Linked DNA regions of Arabidopsis thaliana. The protein of the gene in region 1 interacts with the protein of each later gene in a pairwise test. Each region holds a gene or a part of one and is shown in the gene's direction. Other genes may lie near its edges.

Evidence for each region.
Region 2: the proteins of SMC5 (region 1) and HPY2 interact in a two-hybrid assay, tested with the Arabidopsis thaliana proteins (one study listed by BioGRID).

The regions. Positions count from the first base shown.
Region 1 is NC_003076.8:5,191,013-5,198,483, forward strand, and holds the start of SMC5 (structural maintenance of chromosomes 5), read left to right. Parts: upstream 1-4,580; 5' UTR 4,581-4,744; intron 4,745-5,154; 5' UTR 5,155-5,197; coding exon 5,198-7,471. Other genes in the region: TBL19 (TRICHOME BIREFRINGENCE-LIKE 19), read right to left, coding at 582-1,115; AT5G15910 (NAD(P)-binding Rossmann-fold superfamily protein), read left to right, coding at 2,195-2,253, 2,482-2,551, 2,827-2,915, 3,007-3,062, 3,163-3,218, 3,291-3,384, 3,539-3,618, 3,704-3,746 and 2 more. UniProt on the Arabidopsis thaliana protein: Core component of the SMC5-SMC6 complex that promotes sister chromatid alignment after DNA damage and facilitates double-stranded DNA breaks (DSBs) repair via homologous recombination between sister chromatids.
Region 2 is NC_003074.8:5,101,102-5,108,572, reverse strand, and holds HPY2 (RING/U-box superfamily protein), read left to right. Parts: upstream 1-4,413; 5' UTR 4,414-4,490; coding exon 4,491-4,580; intron 4,581-4,802; coding exon 4,803-4,874; intron 4,875-5,234; coding exon 5,235-5,345; intron 5,346-5,439; coding exon 5,440-5,550; intron 5,551-5,639; coding exon 5,640-5,779; intron 5,780-6,044; coding exon 6,045-6,127; intron 6,128-6,220; coding exon 6,221-6,363; 3' UTR 6,364-6,729; downstream 6,730-7,471. Other genes in the region: AT3G15160 (AP-5 complex subunit zeta-1), read right to left, coding at 294-343, 447-651, 750-894, 999-1,126, 1,192-1,239, 1,403-1,474, 1,695-1,771, 1,871-2,018 and 8 more; AT3G15140 (Polynucleotidyl transferase, ribonuclease H-like superfamily protein), read left to right, coding at 6,856-7,134, 7,431-7,471. UniProt on the Arabidopsis thaliana protein: E3 SUMO-protein ligase that modulates cell cycle progression and functions as a repressor of endocycle onset in meristems. May function downstream of the meristem patterning transcription factors PLETHORA 1 and 2 (PLT1 and PLT2) in root meristem development.

The DNA.
Region 1 (7,471 bases):
TATATGTATATGACACTTCTTAAAATAATGATATTTGATCAAAGTAATGATGCACATCTTACTTCCGTTATAATACTTTACCAAAAGTATATAACTTCTACTAATAATTAAATCATTTACAATGTGAGTCTATGACCTAATGATTCGAGTTATAGAAGCTCATCGATTAGAATGTTACTTCGAAGTAAAGAGTGGTTATATGATATTCTTTGATGCATGAGTACTAAAATATGATTTACTAAGTTTAATGCGTTATTTTGCCCGTTAAACTTAGAATTATTAAAAGAAGGTTTTAATGACCAAAAAGGAGAGTTTGATGAAATATAATACTCCGATATGTTTACATCATATATTAGATTTCTTATTTTAGAAAATCGAAATTTATGCTAGCAAACGAAAAGATTAACTTTAATTTGTAAAAAATTAAAAGCCATATATGTTCATAAAAAAAAAGGAGAAATATTATTAACAAACAAATGTTTTTTTTTTGTTGATGGTTATCAAGATATCATTCTAGATATTCAATAAAAGGCAAACAAAAAAACAAACAAGAAAAACTAATGTAAGAAAAAAGGTGTTACCTGAGAAAGAAGGCAGATCAAAGACTGCATGTGGTTTCTGCTAACTGAGTCACCAACAAACGCCATGGTTTTACCTCTCACGATCTCAAGAAACCTAACCGGGTCAAATACCGGCAAGCCGTCTTCGCACCCGTAAGGTTTCCATTTCCATTTGATGAAATCCGTGTCGGGTCTTCCAAACTTCATGCAATTTTGGTGTTCGTGTATCGCCCAGCACGTCGTGTTGGTGTAGTAAGGTGCCTCAGGGTTAGGAACCCACTCTCCCGAGAATATGTCGCAGCTGTCATGTGATGTTACAACACCGTTTTCGAGGTTGATGATGCTGCTTTGGCTTGGAGGTTGTTGCTTGAGGAAGAAGTTAGGGTCTTCAAGCAAAGGGTAGAGAAGAGGGATGATGGTTAAAAGAGATGTAGCAATGGTCACTGCGATGAGTAGCTTTTGTTTACATGGAAATGTTGCAGAATGAACAAGCTCCATTGAAGGAAAGATAGAGAGAGACAGAGAAAGAAGGAGAGATTTTGAGAGAGAAAGCATACAAAGATTATACCAGAGTAATTGGGACTCGATTTGTTTATAAGTTGTGAATTATTTCAAATCATGAAATTTTGTGAATTTTTCTTCTATGTTAGAACAAAAAGAGTAGGTGTCACATCTAAATTATGAGTTATTATTATTGCAAAATAGCTAACTGAAAATTTTAAAGTGATCAATCAAACAATAAATTCACAATGTGATGACTATTCCGCTAATTTGGACGTTTTTTGTCGGCAATTTGGACGTTTAAGTGATATTTAATTCTGTAACACATGTAATTAGTGTTTAGCTAGGTTGTTAACTATGCAATTGTCACAATATAATTTTTTTTTTTAAAACATGCATTGTGTTGTATAAATCTAAATGATAACACAATGCCGGAAATATTACAATTCACTAGGCTATGTCTTGGTCATAATTTGCTTAACTAGTACTTATGATTTTTTCAACAATTCATATTTTTGATTATACAGTATCAAGTTATTATTATGCACTTTCCAACTGTTACGAACAAGTTTAGTATATGAATTTGAGAGTTAAAACAAACATATGAGCTTCTTCACCCATGTGGATTCATTTTGGTTTGTCGTTATAATTTAACCAAAAGGTAAGCAAACATTTTCTGTTTTATCTTATCTTAAACAAAAATTTCTGAATCGAGTCAGTATACCAATTGCACTAACAAGTATACACTATGATTCTTTATTATATGTCAAAACGGTCTAATAAGTAAAATTGAATGTGAGTAACATCTAAGAAACACTGAATCGCTGCAGCGTTGTTTGTTGTTCTCAGTTTCTTGAGTGTTTCTTATTCTATTCAATGTTTTAGTTTTTTATTCATGATGACACGTGGATAGTCTACGTGGAAGCTAGAACGCCACAATCGTCTCCACAGTTGTGATTGTGAAAGGTCTCTTTTTTTTTTTCCCGAAGATCTCGACTTCACGACTCATGATTCCACAAAGTTTTTAAGAATTCTGCAGTTTCAGATTTATAATCGCTTGCCTAAGTTTCAATTCATCTTCATTCCGGGAGAAAAAGTCGCGATACTTGAGCTACTCAGCTTTAGGGTTTAACATGTTAAGGTCTCTGATTTGGAAACGATCACAGGCATATTCTTCAGTCGTCACGATGTCGTGAGTTCTTCTTCTAAGGCCTTTCGAATTCTATAGAACTGTTTTTCGAATAAAGCATTGATCTTTATTGCTGCCAGAGACGAATGAATCACTTGTAGGGATTTTCATTTTGGGGACATAGTCTCTGACCCAACACTTGATATTACTGAATTGTGTGATTTCTTCATAAAATCATTGACAATGTTGCATATACTGATGATGGTCTTCTTGTCTTTATCTCTTTGGCAGTTCAATCAGTCAGAGAGGAAATGAAAGGCTTTTGTCTGAAGTCGCTGGTTCACATTCAAGAGATAATAAGGTAATAGACAATAACTCTCTCATTGCTTTTGAGTCTCATGAGACTTTGTGATAAGAGAGTTCCTCAAATCCGATTGCTACATCAGACAATTAGTTAGGAATATAATCAGTTGAAATAAGAGTGTAGAGTTTTCTATGGTTACGGGGTTGTTGTTTGGAAGTCTCTGGTTTGTATCTCTGTTTGTGTGTTTCATATGTGCAATATAAAGAAACTTGATCACAAACTGTCTCCCTCTCTTTCGCTGTATCTATTACAGTATTTTGTCTTGAATGCAGATATTGGTTTTGGGAGGAAATGGTTATGTAGGTTCACACATATGTAAGGAGGCACTGAGACAAGGTTTCTCTGTATCTAGTCTTAGCAGGTATTTGTATCATTACCGGTTTTAAATCTGATTTAGTACTCATAGACTGTCTCTTCGTAGCTTAACCTTTAGTCTTTGAACTGTTTATTAGGTCTGGAAGATCTTCTCTTCACGATTCGTGGGTCGATGATGTAACCTGGCATCAAGGTATTCCCAACATCTGAAAACACATTTTCAATTTGTTCATCATTTATGAACAAAAGACTTCGATGATTCACTCGATTTCTGTTTTCTACTAAAAAAATAGGTGATTTGCTTTCACCCGATTCTCTGAAGCCTGCACTAGAAGGAATTACATCTGTGGTAATTAAGAAATCTTCTTAAAAGGTACTTCATCATATGGTTCCTTCGCATCTCTGATGGAAACTTGTGCAGATTTCATGTGTTGGTGGTTTTGGTTCCAACTCACAAATGGTCAGAATTAACGGTACTGCAAACATCAATGCTGTTAAAGCTGCAGCAGAACAAGGTAAACAACTAAACATTCATAGATTTCTTGTGTTGTATGGGGATGAGAGAAAACTCAAATTGTTGAGTTATCTGCAAAAATATATAGATAAGGTTTTTGTGGCTTGTTGTTCTTTGGCAAACTAACAGAAAAGCGGCTTATATATTCTGTTTAGGTGTGAAGAGATTTGTGTATATATCAGCTGCGGATTTTGGTGTCATAAATAACTTGATTCGAGGATATTTCGAAGGGAAGGTACTTATTCTTATTCTTTGTCTTCTTGGTTTTTGTTCTTAGTTATTTACATATCTCTTTGATCAATTTATCTATCTATTTTCAGAGAGCAACCGAAGCTGAGATTTTGGATAAATTTGGAAACAGAGGTGTGTAAATTCTCACTTTTAATCAAAAACTCCATTTCTATATACATGCGTGTTCACTGATAAGTCGTTGTTTTTTCCTCTGCTTTCGAAGGTTCGGTTTTAAGGCCAGGATTCATACATGGGACTCGTCAGGTCGGTAGCATAAAGCTGCCACTTAGTCTCATTGGAGCTCCTCTCGAAATGGTAAAACACGATTTGCATCAATCTTGGTAATCTTTAGGTGAAAGTAAGAATCTTTTTTTTTTTATCTCAAAAACATTATATCATTTACAGGTTTTGAAGCTGTTGCCAAAAGAGGTGACGAAAATTCCTGTGATCGGGCCACTTTTAATACCTCCGGTCAATGTCAAATCCGTTGCAGCAACAGCGGTAAAAGCTGCAGTTGATCCCGAGTTTGCTTCTGGAGTCATCGATGTGTACCGGATTCTTCAACATGGTCACTGAAAACAACACCTGTCTTAACAAAGTTCTCCTCAATACGGTTTTAAATGTCAAATTCAAATGTAACCAATAACCATCGTCTCTGGTCTTCTGCTACCAAATAAACTATGACTTTCGCATATTACACAATAGGAGAACAAATAATGAAATCTTTTTGAAACTGGAACCAATAACCATCGTCATTAGAGATTCAACTTTTTTGGTTTGTTTTGATAATCTTCCAATGTCAAGACTCAAGAGCTTCCACACAAAAAAAAAGGGGCCTATGAATCTGTAAACCGGGTTTTTATTTAATAACCGGACTTAATGAGTCGATTTTAATTTTAAAACGAGTTGAATTTGAACCGGCGTCAAGGTTTTAAAAGGCTAACCTAGAGAGAGAGAGTGTGCTTTGGTCGTCGTGCTTCTCTTTTCCCGGGTTTTCGCTTTTTCATGGTTTCACTTTCAGCTCTGCAAACAAACTGAAAAATCGCAATTCAGATAGAGTCTAGGGTTTATCCTCGTATGGTTCAATTCCGCGCTCCATATTTCAATTTCGGCTAAATTCACTTGTTCAGGTCTGTTTTCCTTCTCGATTTCGGAAATTCAACTTTGTTTGTTAGCAAATCGAATTGTCTATTCTTCTTTTGGGGTTCGTTTTTCAGCGTTCTCTTTTATTTTCCGTCTCTGTCTTGTTCGTAAGTTGATTTCGCTATTAAAAAATTTGATTTTTTTTTGGTTTTACTGTTCATTTTCCAGTCATAGGGTTTATGTTGGAGAGAAAGGCTAATGCGAAACTGATGATTGCTTGTGATTTGAGATTGTTACTAGAAGTTTCTGTTTGATTAGATTTTAGTTTTCAATTCTTCAATTTTGGTTTTAGGGTTAGCTTTTGCACTGTCCAGATTCTAAATTTTTTAAGTTTCTAATTTTCGATTCTACATTGTTTCCCTGTTGGATTTCATACGAAAGTTTCAATTTTTTTCAGGTTAACTCAGTAAAAATCTCTGAACCGCTGAGAAACGACAAAGATGTCTGAACGTCGTGCTAAGCGTCCTAAAATCTCCAGAGGAGAAGATGACTTTTTGCCTGGGAATATAATCGAAATCGAGCTTCACAACTTCATGACATTCAATCACTTGGTATGCAAACCTGGATCACGTTTGAACCTTGTTATTGGACCTAACGGATCAGGTAAGAGTTCTCTTGTCTGTGCCATTGCACTCTGTCTTGGTGGTGAGCCTCAGCTTCTTGGGAGAGCTACTAGTGTTGGAGCATATGTTAAGCGTGGGGAAGATTCTGGCTATGTCAAGATCTCTTTGAGAGGTAACACCAGGGAAGAAAATCTTACGATTTTTCGTAAGATCGATACACGTAACAAGTCTGAGTGGATGTTTAATGGAAGCACAGTTAGTAAGAAAGATATTGTGGAGATAATACAGAAATTCAACATTCAAGTTAACAATCTCACGCAGTTCCTGCCACAAGATAGGGTTTGCGAGTTTGCCAAGTTAACTCCTGTGCAACTCCTGGAGGAGACGGAAAAAGCTGTTGGGGATCCTCAACTGCCAGTCCATCATCGCGCGCTAGTTGAGAAAAGCCGTGATCTGAAGCAGCTTGAGAGAGCTGTGGCGAAAAATGGAGAGACGCTGAATCAGCTTAAAGCTCTTGTTGATGAGCAAGAGAAGGACGTGGAGCGTGTTAGGCAGAGAGAGTTGTTTTTGACTAAGGTTGATTCCATGAAGAAGAAATTGCCATGGCTAAAGTATGATATGAAAAAAGCTGAGTACATGGATGCTAAGAAGAGAATGAAGGAAGCCGAGAAAAAATTGGATGAAGCTGCAAAGAATTTGAACAGCATGAAGGAACCTATAGAAAAGCAAAAGAAGGAGAAAGCAGAGACAGATTCAAAATGCAAAAAAGTTAAGAATCTCATGGATGCAAATGGAAGAAACCGTTGTCACTTGCTCGAGAAAGAAGATGAGGCAGACGCACGTGTAGTGGCAACGTACAAAGAACTGGAGGAATTGAAGAAACAAGAAGAGCATCGTCAAGAAAGGATTCTGAAAGCTACTGAGGATCTCGTTGCTGCGGAACGGGAACTCCAAAACCTGCCTGTATACGAACGTCCTGTAGCCAAACTTGAAGAATTGAGCTCTCAGGTTACAGAGCTGCATCATAGCATTAACGGAAAGAAGAATCAGAAGGAGGACAACGAGAAGCTTTTGTCTCAGAAGAGATACACCCTGAGGCAATGCGTAGATAAGTTAAAGGACATGGAGAATGCAAATAACAAACTCTTGAAAGCGTTAGCTAACTCTGGAGCTGATAGGATATTTGACGCATATCAATGGGTGCAACAGAATCGTCATGAGTTTAAAAGGGAAGTATATGGTCCTGTTTTGGTGGAGGTTAACGTTCCAAATCGAGAGAACGCTTGCTTTTTGGAGGGTCATGTTTCTTTTTATATCTGGAAGTCTTTTATCACTCAGGATCCGGAGGACCGTGATTTGCTGGTTAAAAATTTAAAACGATTTGATGTTCCTGTTCTAAACTATGTGGGCAATAGCGGCAATCAAAAGGCTCCCTTTCATATTTCTGATCAGATGCGTTCTCTTGGGATCCATGCTCGGCTTGATCAAATATTTGATGCTCCTGATGCCGTCAAGGAGGTTTTAAATTCCCAGTTTGGTCTGGAGGACTCGTACATTGGATCAAAGATTACCGATCAGAGGGCTGAAGAAGTCTATAAGTTGGGTATTAAAGATTTTTGGACCCCAGACAATCACTACCGGTGGTCTTCCTCAAGATATGGTGGTCATTCCTCTGCAAGTGTAGATTCTGTATATCAATCACGTCTTCTATTATGTGGGGTGGACGTTGGAGAGCTTGAGAAACTGAGATCAAGAAAGGAGGAATTAGAAGACTCTATTTTATTCATGGAGGAAACTCACAAGAGTCTTCAAACAGAGCAAAGACGTTTGGAAGAAGAAGCAGCTAAACTTCATAAAGAGAGGGAGGAGATTGTAAATGTTTCGTATCTGGAGAAGAAAAAACGCCGTGAGTTGGAATCCCGTTACCAGCAAAGGAAGACAAAGCTGGAATCTTTAGAGCAAGAGGAGGACATGGATGCTTCAGTTGCTAAGCTGATTGATCAGGCTTCCAGAGCTAACGCTGACCGCTATACATATGCAATCAATCTCAAGAAATTACTTGTGGAGGCTGTTGCTCATAAGTGGAGTTACGCCGAGAAGCATATGGCTTCTATAGAATTGGAAAGAAAGATCAGAGAGTCGGAAATCAAT
Region 2 (7,471 bases), on another chromosome or scaffold:
GGCATTTTCTCATTCGGAGCTTGTTAGAAAAGTGGATCAAAAAAAGAATACGGCGAGAGAAAATTCGTCATAATTGGGTCGGACTAAATTTTCTTTTGTAAATTTCTTCCAAATTTAAACCGGATCCAACCGGGTCTGATTAAGAATTTTGCCAAGTTTGAACGAACCATAGTCAAGAAGGTTACAAAACTACATCTGCTAGAAAAAAAAGAGATGCCGATGTATACAAACACAAACACCTTTGAGTTTCACTATTCACAATAAAACACAATTTAAGAGACTTGTTTGTTTGATTAGTTTTTGGGGATGATATCGGAGAAAGCAAAGTCATGGAATGGAGGACCTGCAAAAAACAACGACACAACGTTAGATCTTTTCTAAATCCAACCACATTATCATCTTGTTGAATTTAACTTTTAACAGAGTGATGAGAAGAGTCTCTTAACCTCCTTGTTCACTAAGAATGTGAAATGGAATGTGTGCAACCATTTTTTGTCCACCCTCGCTCCAGTTAACTGTGCCTGGAAACCGTTTTTCTGAAACCCGTGAAGGTCCTAACACAGACCAACAGATTCCTGGTTCGTTCATTAGTCCTAAGTAATCATGTGCTCGTCTCCAAACCCTTGCATCAGATATCCGAGACTTTACTACCTACACATGTACATAATTGTGGAACTCAGATTCCAGATGTTTAGTAATCAACTAATCATTGGTAAGTGCATTAATAGATTCAATTATTTCCTGTGTACCTTTCCCAAGGCGACGCGGGCTCTTGGTAATAATTCTCGGTGATATGTTGCGAGCTTTGCGATAGCTGTCACTACAAAACACAGAAGTCTTGACTGTGTTGTTCTTCTTGAACCATTCCCAGATTCTTGCCTCAAACCTAGGCGGCTTTTTTGGTCGTTGGAAACAAATAGGGAAAACATTGTAATTACCATTTATGTTTTCTGTCCAAGAAAGCAGATTGATGATACACAAACAAAAGTTTGTAATACCTTGATGAGAGATTCTCATATACAAGCAACTCTAAACTTTCAAAAAGCTCTCGAGCAGCTTCCTTGTGAGATTCTCCCCCACCACCATACTCTCCAATTGCCCAACATAGCTGTAAGGCTAACTCTCTCTACGGAAGAAAATGCTTAGAGGAGATTATCTTACAAAGCATCCGTCTAAATATTAGAAACTGACCTTTGCAACATCATCGTAAGCTTCCCCAAGTCGGTCAATAATAGGCTTCTGTATTATTTAAGAAGTTGAGAATGCATATCTTGCAAATTACTCGAGAAAATAAGCGGTAATCATAAGACTATGTATCTAATAATGCACTGTGAAATCTTCTTATCTAAATTCTAAAGCTATTACTCGCACAAAAAAATAAAATAAAATAGGCAGACATTACTTTCAACAGGGCAATGAAATTTGGAGACCTCTGAAATGCAGCTAGTACAAATTCCAGTAGCCTCCTACGGATCTGTGTACGCAAACAATATCTCTGTAAGATAACGTCCAATATGGCAGTGATACAGGTCTATACACTAAAACGTCAAAATAGCATTGGCATTTCTGAAGAAATATTAATGGACGCTACACTCATATCTAGAGGAGAGAAATCAATAAACATTGTCAATTAGCCTGTTCTAATGATTTTCTAAGGAAAGTCTTCAGAAAAACAATACAGAAGATGCGTGTACCTCATGAGAAAAAATCTTATCCGGAAACATTGTAGAGTTTCTTGTCATGAGTAGAGGGATTAAAGCACAGATCAGAGCTGCAAAAGATAAAGTTGTCAACGGCCTAACTAAGTTGGAAATTGACTTATATTCCTTTAGCAACTAAAACAAACTAGGAAGGCTGTAAATTATCTTACAGTCATTTGCATCTCGCAATGTAACACTAAAGTAGACATCAAGAAGTCGGGGAGCAATCTTAAGAGTCTGCTTCATCCTCTCTGACCGAGGACCACTTGCAGCAGCCTGCAGCGCTGCATTCAATGTAGGAGAAGCGCGGTGTCTTTCCTGCAGCACAAATTTGACAAAATACTTTCAGTTTGTCTAATATATCAGACAGTTTAAAAAACTACCAACTTTCACATAGGCCCTAAATTTTTACTAATAGACAATTATTATATAAAACTGTTTCTGTTGAGTTTTTGGAATAAAGCAAAGCCAGAGGAAGGATGCATACCGCTAGACCATCATTTTCGTCCTTCAGAAGCTCCAGAAACAGAGGATCAGCTACATCTATTGTATTGTTATCTTCAGATTCAGAGTCATCCCCTCCATCCCCGATGGTTGAACCAGTATATGCTTCATCCATAAGGGCAAGAAGCATCTGCATTCACAGGTATCCTTGTCATTCATTGACTATCTAAGAACTGTCATATGGTTTATGTTTTTATGAGATATAAGACCTCCGGAGCTGCACTCTTCTGAATTGAAGCAATGCTACCTCCAACCCTTGACCCCGACCCCGAGCTCCTTTCCACCTTTTCTAATGCCACGACCAATACTAGCAAAAATATTAACAAGAAGATACATAATTAGTACACAGTACACTCGTAAACTCAATCAGGCTGAGAGAATAAAGTCCAAGCATCAATGGAGAAATACCAAACAAGCTCAAAACAATGGAAACCAGTCAGCTTACAAATACATCTTAGTACAGTTGGAGTCATCCAAGTGGTCTCCAAATTAGAGTACAAACAAATATATGAAGTCGAGTAGCATTTTTTAGACAAGCGGACTCACTTGGCAAGTCTACAATGGATGGAAACAGAGGAAGAAATGACCCAGGTGATATCAGTCCTGGAAATATCTTCAGGAAGGACTTCTCCAACCTGAAATTAGAACAAAGAAAATTTATTTCCTTGAGATAATTGTTCAAATCACTTGTGCATATTTTCAGCTTACTTCTCCCAATTCCAGGCAATGAGCTTAAGCAACAACGGGAAAAACTGCAAATACAATTTCTTGAATTAGATAGAGATATAATATATCTGTTATGGCTTAATTGTTCAAGCGGTGGAAATGTAAATGGACACAAATTAAGAAAGATGAAAGCAGAAGGAACAGCTAGATTGCATAAAGCTATAAGGACAGAAAGATACAGTTCTATTACATATGTTGATGCACACAGTAATAACACAATAAATAGAGGCACTTTACTAATTAAGAGAGTAATCTTCTTGAGACTGAAAGCTAAAAGAAAGTTTAAGGATTTATATGGCTAGTCATTCCAGTTAATACCTGAGGGAGTAAGTTTGGGAAAGATGCTAAGAGCTTTCTTTGGTTCACAACAAGGAATTCACAAGTTGCCTCTGCCACAGCGGCATCTGAGAACTCACTACAAAGAAAATCATGATCATATCAGCAAAATTTATCTACATAAACGCATAGTAGCACACATCTCAGAGCACAGAGCCACAACAAGACCCAGTCAAGACATAAAAGGTAGTCCATACCGGCTAAGACATGAGCGGAAGAATGTCCTCAAACTTGGGTCAGAATCGTGCAGAACCATATCCCCAAAATCAAGAAAAAACTGAAGAATGGCCTAAACACACAAACACAGAATCCTTAATACACACTAGAACCCAAAACGTAAAAAAACAAACTTTCATCTGAAATTCTTCAGGGAGAATAATGTACTAGCAAGAGAAGGCCTTTGGACGCCCCTGACTCGGACTGAGATAGTGAAGCAACCGAACGATGGAAGACTTTATTGAATTGTGGATAAATTCTAGCCACAAGATCATCTGATTTCTCCATTTTACAGAACCCATGCAGCTTCTTCACCTAATCCATATACATTCAAACAAAACGAAAGCAATGTATCACTTAATACCAGTCTCAAGCCAATTCTCAATAAATGGACAAAAGATGCGTACTGATTGTAGTATAGATGGATCAGAAGCAGGATCCGTAGAATCCCGCGCGCTGTTGCTTAGGATTCTGAGGTAAAAATCCCAGTCTCCTTCTTGATCACTCATGTTCTCAATCAAAAAGAAGATCACTAGAAAAAATTCATATGATATGATGATGGATGAAGAAGTTTCAGCTTCGGCGACTCCAGAGTCCCGGAGAAAGAGGATTGGAAAGAAGACGACGTCGTTTATTCAAAGATCTATATCCTTAAACTACATGCCATCTCTTCTTGTCCACATGTCGTTTATAGTAGCATAAGACGGCACACAGTTTATCAAGCAAACCCCCTAGACGGGCTATGGATTGGCTGCGGCCTTTTTATAGCTTGTTGCAGCGATACGACATCGTTTGGCCAGTACGACTTCGTTCGGCCGGTACGACTTGTCTTCTTCACGTTTTCTAATAGGATTAATTAACTACGTGTCGCTTATAGTAGCATAAGACGGCACGCATTTTATTCAGCAAACCTCCGTATATCGCAGGCTCTCTCACTCTTTCCGTCTTCTGATTTCTCCCTCCAAAACAAACCTCGGAAGAGAAAATTGGAGCGAAGGAGCGATAGATATGGCGTCGGCGTCCTCGTCTGACGGAGTTGCCGGAAGGATTCAGAACGCTTCTTTGGTTCTTGTCTCCGATAACAGTTCCACGCTTGCTGTGAGTATTTTCGTTCAAACCAAATTCACTCTTTTTTTTTTTTGATGTAAATATAGGTTTCTGAGAAGTTCCTGAAATCTTTCCTCCGAGATGTTAACAGATAGGAGCTTCGGCTTATAATGGGTTTGACTAGTTAGAAGTGAACAAGGGATTTCTAATTTGGGCAAAATTTATAGCCTAGAATCTGCTTTATCTCGTATCTGTTTTTACTTTTATTTGCAGGATATCCGCAAAGCTGTGGCAATGATGAAGAACATTGCAGTTCAATTGGAGAAAGAAAATCAAACGGACAAGGTTGGTTATTATTTTGTCTGATATGAGAGGAAGCGTTTTCAGGGATAAACGCACTTGTAGCCGTTTTACATTTTTTTTTTTTGCTACAATGTAGAGTAGTTTCATTCATCTCCTTGAGTTTTTGTATTGGCTAATCATAAGTGACCTTATCTTAAACTTGTGGGAACTGCCTAGACTTTCTTCTAATGTGATTGATTCTTGGTTAATTGCATTGCTGTAAAACTTGTTATCACGTATCTCTTTCATTCTGACATTGTATTATTGTCTGCTCTTGCCAACACTCTTTCCTTGATGTCTGTCTTTGTTTTTCTTAAATGCTCTTTATATATGCTCTTCATTTTTATATTTTGGGTTCCACAGGTTAAGGACCTTGAAAATTCTGTGGCTGAGTTATTGGATTTGCATAGTGATTGTAATCACCGTTCGACAGCAATTCAATCCGTTGCAAATCGGTACCAACCCGTGGAACAAGTACTCACTTTCCCTCTTTCATGTGTTATCTAATTTCTTATTCGGTTGCATACTTTTAGATGTAGCAAATTGATTTTTACTCTAATGACTGCAGTTAACGGACTTTAAAAAGTTGCTTGATGATGAATTCACAAAGCTCAAGGCTACACCTTCCTCAGTGCCACAAAATGATCATTTGATGCGCCAGTTCAGGGAAGCAGTTTGGGTATGTTTTTAACTTAAAGTTCTTGGCTTGTATCTAATAGGTCTATAGTCCGATTTCCTTTTTAAGTTATTGTCAATGTTTTGCTGCAGAATGTTCATCATGCAGGTGAACCAATGCCTGGTGACGATGATGAGGACATTGTTATGACCAGTACTCAGTGCCCTCTTCTAAACATGACATGTCCCTTGAGCGGGAAGCCTGTCACTGAATTAGCAGATCCAGTTCGCAGGTACAATGGATGTTTCTTGTCTTTTTTCCCTTAACTTGGATGTCTTGTTTTGTTCGGACGATTTGCTTGTCCTCTCCCATGCCTGATGTCTATGTAGGATGATCCTCAAAAGCCATATTCAGTCGATACTGACTTCTTTCTATACATGACCATAAAGCTTGAATATGATTTCATCTTTCGTGTAGCAGTAGAACTAATCAAATAATAATATACAATTGTGCGGTGAACTGATACCATGTCTCTCTGATCCTTTTTATGGTTGCAGTATGGATTGCAGGCACGTCTATGAAAAATCTGTAATCCTGCATTACATAGTCAACAATCCAAATGCGAATTGTCCTGTAGCAGGTAAAATAGTTCTTGCTCAAAAACATCTTTAGACACCATTACTTTGTTCTTTCATGCTGATTTGTCATTTGTATGACCTCTTGAAATCCTCAGGGTGCCGAGGTAAACTGCAGAATAGCAAAGTGATTTGTGATGCAATGTTGAAGTTTGAAATAGAGGAGATGCGCTCGTTGAACAAACAATCTAATAGGGCTGAAGTGATTGAAGACTTCACAGAAGATGTGGATGAAGATTAGAGATCAGACATTTCTTGGACCGGGTTTTAAGCGCTGCAATGAAACAAGTTGAAGCCATATGTTTCACAACTTTTTGCTATTCTTAGTCCGTTCGGTATATTTTATCAAACGTGAAATTTGATACCAATTGTTTCCACTTTATGGAGGATGTAAATAGTCGATCTCTTCCGATTCTGAATTCAACTGCTGTTTTTTTTGCCAAGTTTACGTTCATTTCCTGAGGCTAGTCAAAGCTTAATTTCATTTCTTGTAGTCAGAATTTTCGATTTAGTACCATTATTAGGTCTACTCGGTTTATTAGTTTTTCATGGTATGGTTTGGCATTGGTTAAGAGTTTGTGTGGATATAAATCCAGTTTGGTTTTCAAATTCAATTTTTGGTTCGATTTGAATTGGTTACTAAAACAAACTAAAGGCTTTTAGCTTCCCAGTTCCCAGTCCCTGTACTCGAAAGGAAGATCTTCATCTTCAATCTTCATGCTAATCGACGAAAATGGCGTCCGCATTCTCTGCATTTAGGGTTTCGTTGTCCAGAATCAGTCCTTTCCGTGATACCCGGTTCTCTTATCCCGCCACGTTGGCTTTAGCTCATACCAAACGAATCATGTGCAACTCTTCGCATTCTGTATCTCCATCTCCTTCTCCCTCTGACTTTTCTTCTTCTTCTTCTTCTTCTTCTTCTTCTCCTTCTACTTTTTCGTTAATGGAAACAAGTGAAAATGCAAGGTGGAGACCCATGTGCTTGTATTACACCCACGGAAAGTGTACAAAGGTAAACACTTTGCTACTCGTCGTTCTTTTTAAATTTAGTTTTTGCTACAGCGGAATGCGGAATTAAATTCCATTTCTTTATTGATTGGTTCCTGCTCCGTATGCTTGTTCGAAAACAAGTGATGCGAAATTTGAATCAACTATGCAATGTCTGCGACCTGTTCGATGGAATGTCTGAACGAGATTGGAACTTGTTTATTGTTTGTGTCTCGATCGTTACATTGTTATTCTTTACTAGTTTTTTATACCTAAATAATCGTGAATGATGGGTAATAAAGTTTATGTTGATGATATCAGATGGATGATCCTGCCCATTTGGAGATTTTTAACCACGATTG